2 linked regions of the Cricetulus griseus genome follow. The protein of the gene in region 1 binds, or shares a complex with, the protein of each later gene. Links are inferred from orthologs where the notes say so. Each region holds a gene or a part of one and is shown in the gene's direction. Other genes may lie near its edges.

Region 1 (4,773 bases):
GAGCAAGATAGGCCAAGCAGCTGGTACCATACTGTCACCCTATGGATACTGTTCCTGACACCTTAGAATAAATAACCTGGTATACAGCAGGAATTATCTTCACAGAAAAAACAAAACAAAACCCCTAGATTTCAGTAGAGTGTCACTTCCCAGGGACCCACAGGGTAAAAGGCTGCATTGGGCATGGAGGTGGGTGCTGTAGCCCAATGGCCTCCATCTGTGTTTTTAAGGAGCCACCGGTCATTTGGAGTAGAAATGGAGCACTCTTTTCAGAACCCCCCAAAGATAGAAGCCACCAGCCATCAGTCTGGAAGACTCTCCTCCCCGACCCTGAACCCAGCACAGTCCCTGAGATAAAAATTAAATGCTTATGGCAAGTATGGTGTGAGACTTCTGACGGGAGTTGGTTATGCATTGTGGGGCGGGGGGGGGGCAGTGGTAAGTGGGTGGCCTGGACTTAGCTACTTCCCACATATTCTGGGAACCCTGGCTGCACCCCTTCCTCGGCAAACACATGCTGTCTCTGCTACTGAGTGGGACACCTAGAAATGCTAGTGAACAGGTCCACCTCTGAAGACTCAGTAGTAGAGCAGAGCCGTAAAGGAGCAGGAAAACCATACCAAAACACGCCGAGGTGTGCTACACAGGAAACCCACAGAGGAGCAACTAGTAGCAGAAGGGAGTGTGTGAATCCTTAACTTTAAAGCTCATCTCCTCAAGACCAAAACAAAACAACCAAACCAAACAAGCAATCAACCAAATAAAAAAGCCCAGGAAGAGAGAAAAGGCTGGGAAAGCAAGGCATTGTGGCTTGTGCCTGTAATCCCGGACTGAGGCCACATAGTTAACGGGACAGAGGAAGGAAAGAGAGAGGGGGGGGGAGGGAGGGAGGGAAGAAGGAAGGGAGGAAGGAAGGCAGGCAGGCAAAAGAAAAACGGATCTGCCCAATTTGCACTTGAGCCTGGCTTGGGCGAGCATGCCTGAAATCCCGGCCACTCGCAGCACACGGGAGGCTGAACCAGAGGGTTCGAGACCTGCCAGGGCTACGTAACAAGCACTAGGCCAACCAGACCTATATAGACCCTATCTTAAAAAGAAAATTAGAAACAAAAACAGCACTCAATTTCACGGGGTTCACAGGCACAAATTCATAGTGTTCCGTAGCAGTCCAGAGCTCAGGTTAAAAAGACCCAATCTACCAATCCAGGGAAAGTGGGCGACGGTAGCATTCGCTGGCAACAGTGGTTTATTGGGGTTGCAAGTCTGGGGCTTTGCAGCTGGTTTCTTCAAGAAGAAAACATGCGGTATCTTCCAACCCCGGACGGATCCCCGGCCCCGGGGAGCCTACGAGAAGGACAATCACTGGAGGAGGGGACGCCCACGAAGAGGCTTGAGGCACAGAGCGCCACGAGGCTCTCGGAGTGGAAAGGTCAGGGAAAGAGCTCCCAGCTCCGCAGACGGTGGCTTTTAGCACGATTCCAAAGCTGTTACAGTTCTAACCCGGGAGAGCCAATGCCGACCCCGTAGCCTCTACAGGTGCACATGCGCAGAGCCAGTCCCCGGGAGCCGGGAATGCGCAGTCTCAACCCGTCCCTCCCATGAGCCTCTGGAGGTTCCCAGGCCGGCCCCGGAAGCAGCCGCTCTTAGTTTCCGGCAACAGCGCAGCGGCGGCCGCACGACCCGGAAGTATTCCCATTTTGCGTCGTCTGGGCTCGGGTGGCGGCCCGGCTCCAGACGGACGCACTAGTCATGGGGTCGTCAAAGAAGCACCGCGGGGAGAAGGAGGCGGCGGGGACGACGGCGGCGGCCGGTACCGGGGGCGCCACCGAGCAGCCGCCGCGGCATCGAGAGCACAAGAAACACAAACATCGCAGCAGCGGCGGCGGCAGCAGCGGCGGCGAACGACGGAAGCGGAGCCGCGAGCGTGGGGGCGAGCGCGGGAGCGGGAGGCGCGGGGCCGAAGCCGAGGCCCGCGGCGGCGCGCACGGTCGCGAACGAAGTCAAGCGGAGCCCTCGGAGCGGCGCGTGAAGCGAGAGAAACGCGATGACGGCTACGAGGCCGGTGAGGGCGGGGCGGGGGCGGGGCAGGGGCCTGGGGTGCGCGGGACGGAGGGTGCAGGGTGACCGCCAGGGCCTGTGCCTCTCGGGCTGAAGACTTGCTCCGGCTGTTGGGGACTAAAGACTGACTCCCCATGTTAAGCTTCGGAAGGACCGGGGTCTTGCGTTTCCCCTTCCCGTCTGGCACTTGACAGTAAATGCGGTGGGTGGGCGAAAGGAGGAGGTGCGAGCATGCACAGACAGAGGCAAGAGAAACCTGACAGTAGGTGGAATCGTCATGAAGCAGTAAGATACGCTTGGGTCTGAACACCAAGGACCCTGTGCTGTAAGCTCTGTTGAGAAATTTGGGCTTTGTGATGAAGACGGTAGGGAGTCGAGGATTTGAGTAGGGAAGTGGGTTGATTTACTTCATATGTTAAGATCACACTGGATTGAGCTGGGCATTGGTGGCGCACGCCTTTAATGCCAGCACTCGGGAGGCAGAGGCAGGCAGATCTCTGTGAGTTCGAGGCCAGCCTGGTCTCCAGAGTGACTGCCAGGATAGGCTCCAAAGCTACACAGAGAAACCCTGTCTCGAAAAACAAAAAAAAAAAAAAAAAAAAAAAAGGATCTCTGGGTTGAGAGCTTGTCAAAAATAGGACTACAGACCCTGAGATTAGGAGGGAGGTCAACCCAACCAGGTGAGGACTAACAGTGAGTATGCATGTTTCTCCATGCAGTAGGGTGGAGAGACTGGAAAGATTGAATAGGTGTTTAGGAAGTGCAATGAACAAAATTTAGTGCGTGGGCTAAGGGGATGGGAGGGATGAGGAACAGGGAATGCCTCCTGGAGTTTTGACCTTACCCGCCTGGTGAATGGTTTTCATCTGTTGAAGTTGGTGTTTAGAAGACTAGCAGATTTGAGGCAAGGGAGAATGACCCAGTTTGGGAGAGCTTTGGTCAGTGTGTATGGGAAAACCTACAGTTTAAGTGGGATAGAGTGATTTGAGGCTAGTGTGTATTCAGGAATCCAAAGTGCCCTAGAGTGTGTGGAGTGAGAACTAGGATCAGAAATAGAACTTAGTAAATGCCAATAGCTCAATTGTGGGCAGAGAAACATACTTAAAAAATAAAGAGTAGCCAAATGGCAAGAACACTACAGTTGGGTCATAGGATCTGTACAAAGAGATGATTGTTGAAAAGACAGAGTGGTTAAGAGCATCACACACCACAGGGCATTATGCAGAACCAGAACTTGTAAACAAAGGGTTGTTTTCATTTTATGCATTTGAGTGTTTTACCTCCATATGTGAATATGCACTTGGTGCATTCCTAGTGCCTGTGGAGGTTCAGAGGAGGACATTGGATCCCCTGAAAATGAGTTAGGTGGTTGTGAGATGCCATATAGATTATGGGAACCAAACCTGGGTCCTCTGTAAGAACAGCAAGTGCTCTTATCCACTGAGACATCTCCCCAGCCCCTAAATTGAAACTTTTTTTTTTTTTTTAATAATCTGCTAATTGGAAAAAGGGAGACTTGAGACTTGAGAGTTCATATAGAAAATGGGGTCCAGAGCCTAGGTGGAGGAGGAAGGGTTTAAAGAGCAGTGAGTAGTGTGTGACAGGGGACTTGGGCATCCTGGTGGCATCTTCCTCTGTATAGTGTTTATTGAAGTTCTCTCCTGTTTGTGGGGTGGATAGATCAGGTCCAGAGTGCTTCCTTTCCTATGTCCATAGCATCTGGCATGGAACACACACTAGTAAGTATTCCATACACTGCTGTGGGCAGAAAGTGCCAGAAATGACAAGCAGTGCTGTGCCGTTCTAGGCAGAGTTTTAATTCTGGTCAGTAATTGAGCAGGGCTTCATGGAGGAGATGATACTTGCTCTTTTGATAGAACTTTATGAGAACAAGAGCAGAAGGGACTGTGGAGGCTGAAGGTAGAGTGTGGAGATTTGGAGTGGCACAGTGAGGGATGCAGAAAAAAGATAAGGGCCTGGGTAGCAGCTGCAGGGAACCCTGGGGGAAGAAGGCTGCTGTTTTCTGGTGTCATCTACCCAGGTGCTGGTGGGGGCCCTTGTCTTCGACCTTGCAACTGAAGACCATGATGTTGCTTCTTGGTCCCATGTTCATGGGTTCCTTAAGCCGTGCTCCTTATTGTTCTAGCTGCCAGCTCCAAAACTAGCTCTGGAGATGCCTCGTCACTTAGCATCGAGGAGACCAAGTGAGTAGCCCTTATGCTGTTTTGATTTTCCTCTGAGACTGGTTGCACCTGGGGCTGTTACCTATAGAAACTTTTTCAATCTAAATGAAGCCAGTTAGAATTGGAATGGCCAGATGAGTCATACTGCCAACCATAGGAGCTACGTGGAAGAAACTGAGACCCAAGAGGAAGGATAGTCTTCCCCAGTCAGGAAGCCTGTTCTGGAAGCCTGTGTCTTCTTCATGCCCTAAGCTGCCAGGATTAGGGGCTGTACTTATTACCCTAGAACCACTCATTCTCACCTTGTTTTCACCTCCATAAATGTACTTGTTATCACATTTCTTAAGGTAGACCCTAATACTTCTATCTCTTGTCTTCAGCAAACTCCGTGCAAAGTTGGGGCTGAAACCCTTGGAGGTCAATGCTGTCAAGAAAGGTGAGTATAAAGTTGAGGAGAGGGCTGAGCTGGGGCATCTAAGTGGGAAGAAAGTTGGGCTTAGCATGCAGAGGCAACTCCATGTATGTTTTGTCA
Region 2 (4,031 bases), on another chromosome or scaffold:
CATGCAGTCTGTCCTCCTGTCTAGCCACACTGGCTTTTACAGCATCTAAATTAAAAGACAGAAAGGTTTAGTCTTTTGGGAATGGAGTCTTACTCTGTTTCCCAGGCTGGCTTCAATTCAGTACCTTCTTGCCTTAGCCTTCCAAGTCTGGAATTACAGATATAATCCACTATGCCATTTTTTGCCCTGTTTTTTTCTAAATTCCAAAAAAAAATTCAATTTGAGTATTTGTTTAAAACAATTCTTTTTGGGGCTACAGAGAAGGCTAAGCAGCTAAAAACATGCATTACCTTTACATAGAACCTGAGTTTAGTTCCCAGAACCCACATCAGGTGGCTTACAACTGCCTATAATTCTGGCTCTAATGACCTCCATAGCACCTGTGTTCATGTGCACATTCTCACACACACATACATAATTTTAAAATAAATAAATAGCTGGGTATGGTGGACACACCTTAATCTCATCACTCAGGAGGCAGAGGTAGATAGATCTTTGTAAATTCAAAGTCAGCCTGGTCTGCAAAGCAAGTTTCAGGCCAGCCAGAACTACATAAAGACACCCTGTCTCAAAAATAACTAAATGTGTTTTTTTGTTTGTTTGTTTGTTTTTTGGGGGGGTTAGTAGTTAACTAGTCACTTTAATTCTGCCTGCTCACATTCCCTAGTATGTACTTTTCTGTGTTCTTCATATAGTCTCTGTTTGCTCATAGATTATGAAGAGGTAAGAACCCTCTAACTCTGCTCTCCTTTAACTCTTTAGGCCATAACACAAATGTAGGAGCAATTGTGTTCCATCCTAAATCTACTGTCTCATTGGACCAAAAGGATGTCAACTTGGCTTCTTGTGCTGCTGATGGTTCTGTGAAGCTTTGGAGTCTGGACAGGTGATTCCCTTCTGCAGTCCACAGTGCCATCCCTAAAGAAAGTGGTTGGCTAGCCCTTTAGGTTTGAAAATGGGATATTTAACCCCAGACATGCTTCAAGAGTCCAGGGAACTCACTGAAAATAGAAGATGTCTTTCTTAGACCTTTTCTGTTCAAAGAAGTTATACTGGGATTTTCTTTCCTTGCTTACTTTTAGTCCTCAGTTTTTGCCTTTAGCATAATAAGTCACTGATTCCCAGCTCCCATTCTAAAACAACCCAGTTTAATCTACATGGTAGGTTAGCATTAGCAAAACGAAGTTTTGTGGATGGGCTAAAGATAATCATCTTGGCAGCCTCTTGGATCTATGCACATGGCCACAGAGGAGAGGAAAAGTGAGGTTCTATCTGGCAGTACAGGCCACTGGTATCCTTTACCAGTGTATTTTACAACCACAGCACGTTTTCTTTCTTCATATGGATGTTTTTACTTGTCTTCTCAATTTTGGAAACATACTGTGATCTGAAAGACTTTTTGAATGTCCATTTTTCTTTCCTAGAGAAAGCATAGCAAGGTTTTTATTACAAAATTTTCCAAAGCACTAATTAGCATCTACAATCTTTGCCAGATAGGGTCTCAGCTAGTAGCATGGCAAGTTTTAATTGGCTTTCGTAATATTTAGCAACACTTATCCCCATAGGGCCCTGGTTGGGTCTGTGTGTACTCATTGACAGCACTCCCTTCTAATTGCCCTGTTTAGGCTCATGTTTATTTCCTCTCTCTAGAGTTTCAGCCTTTGTGTTGTTGCTAGGTAGCAGAAATTATTGGCCATCCAGAGGACACTGAGTCATTCTAGCTTAGGAGTTCTTTTTTAATTTGGATCTTTGAACGGGATAACGGTTAAATAAGTCCGGAACCCATTGGACCAAAACTGATTTCAGTATCCACACCTCTACCAAAGTATATTTTCTTTTTTGAATCCATGCACTATTTTGAAGCAGTGGAACTATTTTGCTCATCGTGGAGAATTTATTAACGCACTGAATTAAAATAGTGATCACTTTGCGTTGTGGTTGAAGAAATAATCCTCCATGTTTCAGAACCTTAACAAGTAGCTTAAATGATTGTTATCCCTAAGATTGTAACACATTGTAGGTACAGTAACAAAGTTAGCACAGAACCTTGTGCAGGGTGCAGTCAGCCCCCTGTGCTGCTCAGTGTAGAAAGTGCATGGTGATACTTGTGTACAAACTACAGAGTGGGCGTACCTGCACAGCAGCAAATAAACTGAGAGGGTTGTTCATGGCTGTCAAGGTGTTTAACCCCTGAATATATTTGGTTCCTTTCAGTGATGAACCAGTGGCAGATATTGAAGGCCATACGGTTCGTGTGGCTCGGGTAATGTGGCATCCATCAGGGCGTTTCCTGGGCACGACCTGGTAAGCCATCCATTAGTGTCCAGTTTGTGTACAAGCCTGTTGGTTTTGATAATCCTTTTCAGTTATCTGCCAGGTAAATATTTAGAGCAAGGATCTTGATTAGAACTTTCTCAAACTTAAGTAATAGAATCAGAAAAAAAGTCAAATATTTTTAAATATATTTCCTTTTAAATCTTACTGAGTGTGCTACACGTTATATTGAAATCTCTCTCAGCTAGGTGTGATGGCACAAACCTACAATCCTAACACTCAGCAGGCTAAAGCAAGAAGATCACAAGCTTAGGGCCAGCCTGAGCTACATAGCAAGACCTTTTTAAAAAATAAAATAGAGCTGGGCAGTGTGGCAGACACTTTTTAATCCCAGCACTCAGGGCAGAGACAGGTGGATCTCTGTAAGTTCAAGGCCAGCATGATCTAAAGGGAAGCTCAAGACAGCTAGGGCTACACAGAGACCCTGTTTTGAAAAAAAAAAAAATAATAATAAGTAAAATAGAAACACTAATATATAAAATTTCTCTGTGCCAACACCTTGACTTCTTTTTCTGGTTCTGTAAGTTTAGTGAGGCTTAGTTCTACTAAAACTTTTTTCTTTGAGGTTTGAGTAACGTACAATAGAATGGGGTGGTTTTATTGTACAAGTGCCTACTGCTTATGACCCACGCCCTTACCAGTAGTCTCTCTCAGCCAGCAGAGCTCTCTTCGAGCCCCTTCTCACTCTCCCCTTCCAGAGCAGCCGCTGACTTGATTTGTTCGTTCTGCCTGTTTATACCCATTTGTGCTATTAAGCTGAGTGTAGTCTATTGTGTGTCTGTTCCAGTTTATGCGTTCTCCTATTGATGGACACATGGGCATGTTTCTGGGTTGTGGCTAGTCAAGATAAAGCCACTATAAATATTCTCTTGTCTTTTAATGTGTGTCTATGTGCTTCATGCCCAGAAGCTGAGAAGGTGCATTGGATCATCTAGAATTAGAGTTGCACAAGGTTGTGAGCTGTCATGTGGGTGCTAGGACTCAGACCTGGGTCCTCTGGAAGAGCAGCCCATGCTCTTAACCACTAAGCCATCTCTCTATCCCTGACTAATTAAATATTCTTATTGGAGCGTTTTATATTGTTTGGGGTTGGGTTTTTTTTCCCCCCTTTCTCTTGGGTAAATACTAAGGAGTACAGTTGCTAGTTCATAGAGTAAATGTATATTTAGCTTTCTAAAAACATTCAGGCAAGCTGGGTTCAGTGCCTGAACCCAGTGCCTGAACCCAGCAGGGGGATCTTGAGTTTGAAGCCAGCCTGGGCTTCATAGTAGGACCCCATTCCCCAGAATAAAAACATGTGAACAACTGAGTCTATTTCATATCTTTGTCAATGTTTGCTGTGTTGGTCTTTTATCTCACCCATTGTAGCTGGCACATAGTAAACCTTATATTAGTGTTAACTGCCCTGACAGCTGTTGCTGTTGAGTATTTTGCCATGTGCTTTGCCCTTCTTGAGTTTATTTTTTTCTGTATTTGTACCGCCATAGCCTGTTTGTTGCCATCATTGAAGATTTCTATTAAAATTGTTTTAGCACCCTAATGAAAGCTGATCATATATATTTGGGTCTTTTTCTGTATCTGCTCTATTTGTCCATCTGAATTTTTTTTTATGCCCAATAAATATACAAATGCTTGCTTGATGGATGAAGGGATATAACAATAGAATGAGGAGAGGAAAAAAAAATGCAGTCTTTGCC

The links. The genes of interacting proteins can lie anywhere in the genome.
Region 2: Sart1 (region 1) and Prpf4 share a complex: the UniProt entries of both Homo sapiens proteins name them as parts of the U4/U6-U5 tri-snRNP complex. The link is inferred for Cricetulus griseus from reciprocal best matches to the Homo sapiens genes SART1 and PRPF4.

The regions. Positions count from the first base shown.
Region 1 is NC_048596.1:53,945,391-53,950,163, forward strand, and holds the start of Sart1 (U4/U6.U5 tri-snRNP-associated protein 1), read left to right. Parts: upstream 1-1,673; 5' UTR 1,674-1,749; coding exon 1,750-2,062; intron 2,063-4,204; coding exon 4,205-4,262; intron 4,263-4,621; coding exon 4,622-4,677; intron 4,678-4,773. UniProt on the Homo sapiens protein: Plays a role in mRNA splicing as a component of the U4/U6-U5 tri-snRNP, one of the building blocks of the spliceosome. May also bind to DNA.
Region 2 is NC_048595.1:83,449,917-83,453,947, reverse strand, and holds part of Prpf4 (U4/U6 small nuclear ribonucleoprotein Prp4), read left to right. Parts: intron 1-762; coding exon 763-886; intron 887-2,214; coding exon 2,215-2,304; intron 2,305-4,031. UniProt on the Homo sapiens protein: Plays a role in pre-mRNA splicing as component of the U4/U6-U5 tri-snRNP complex that is involved in spliceosome assembly, and as component of the precatalytic spliceosome (spliceosome B complex).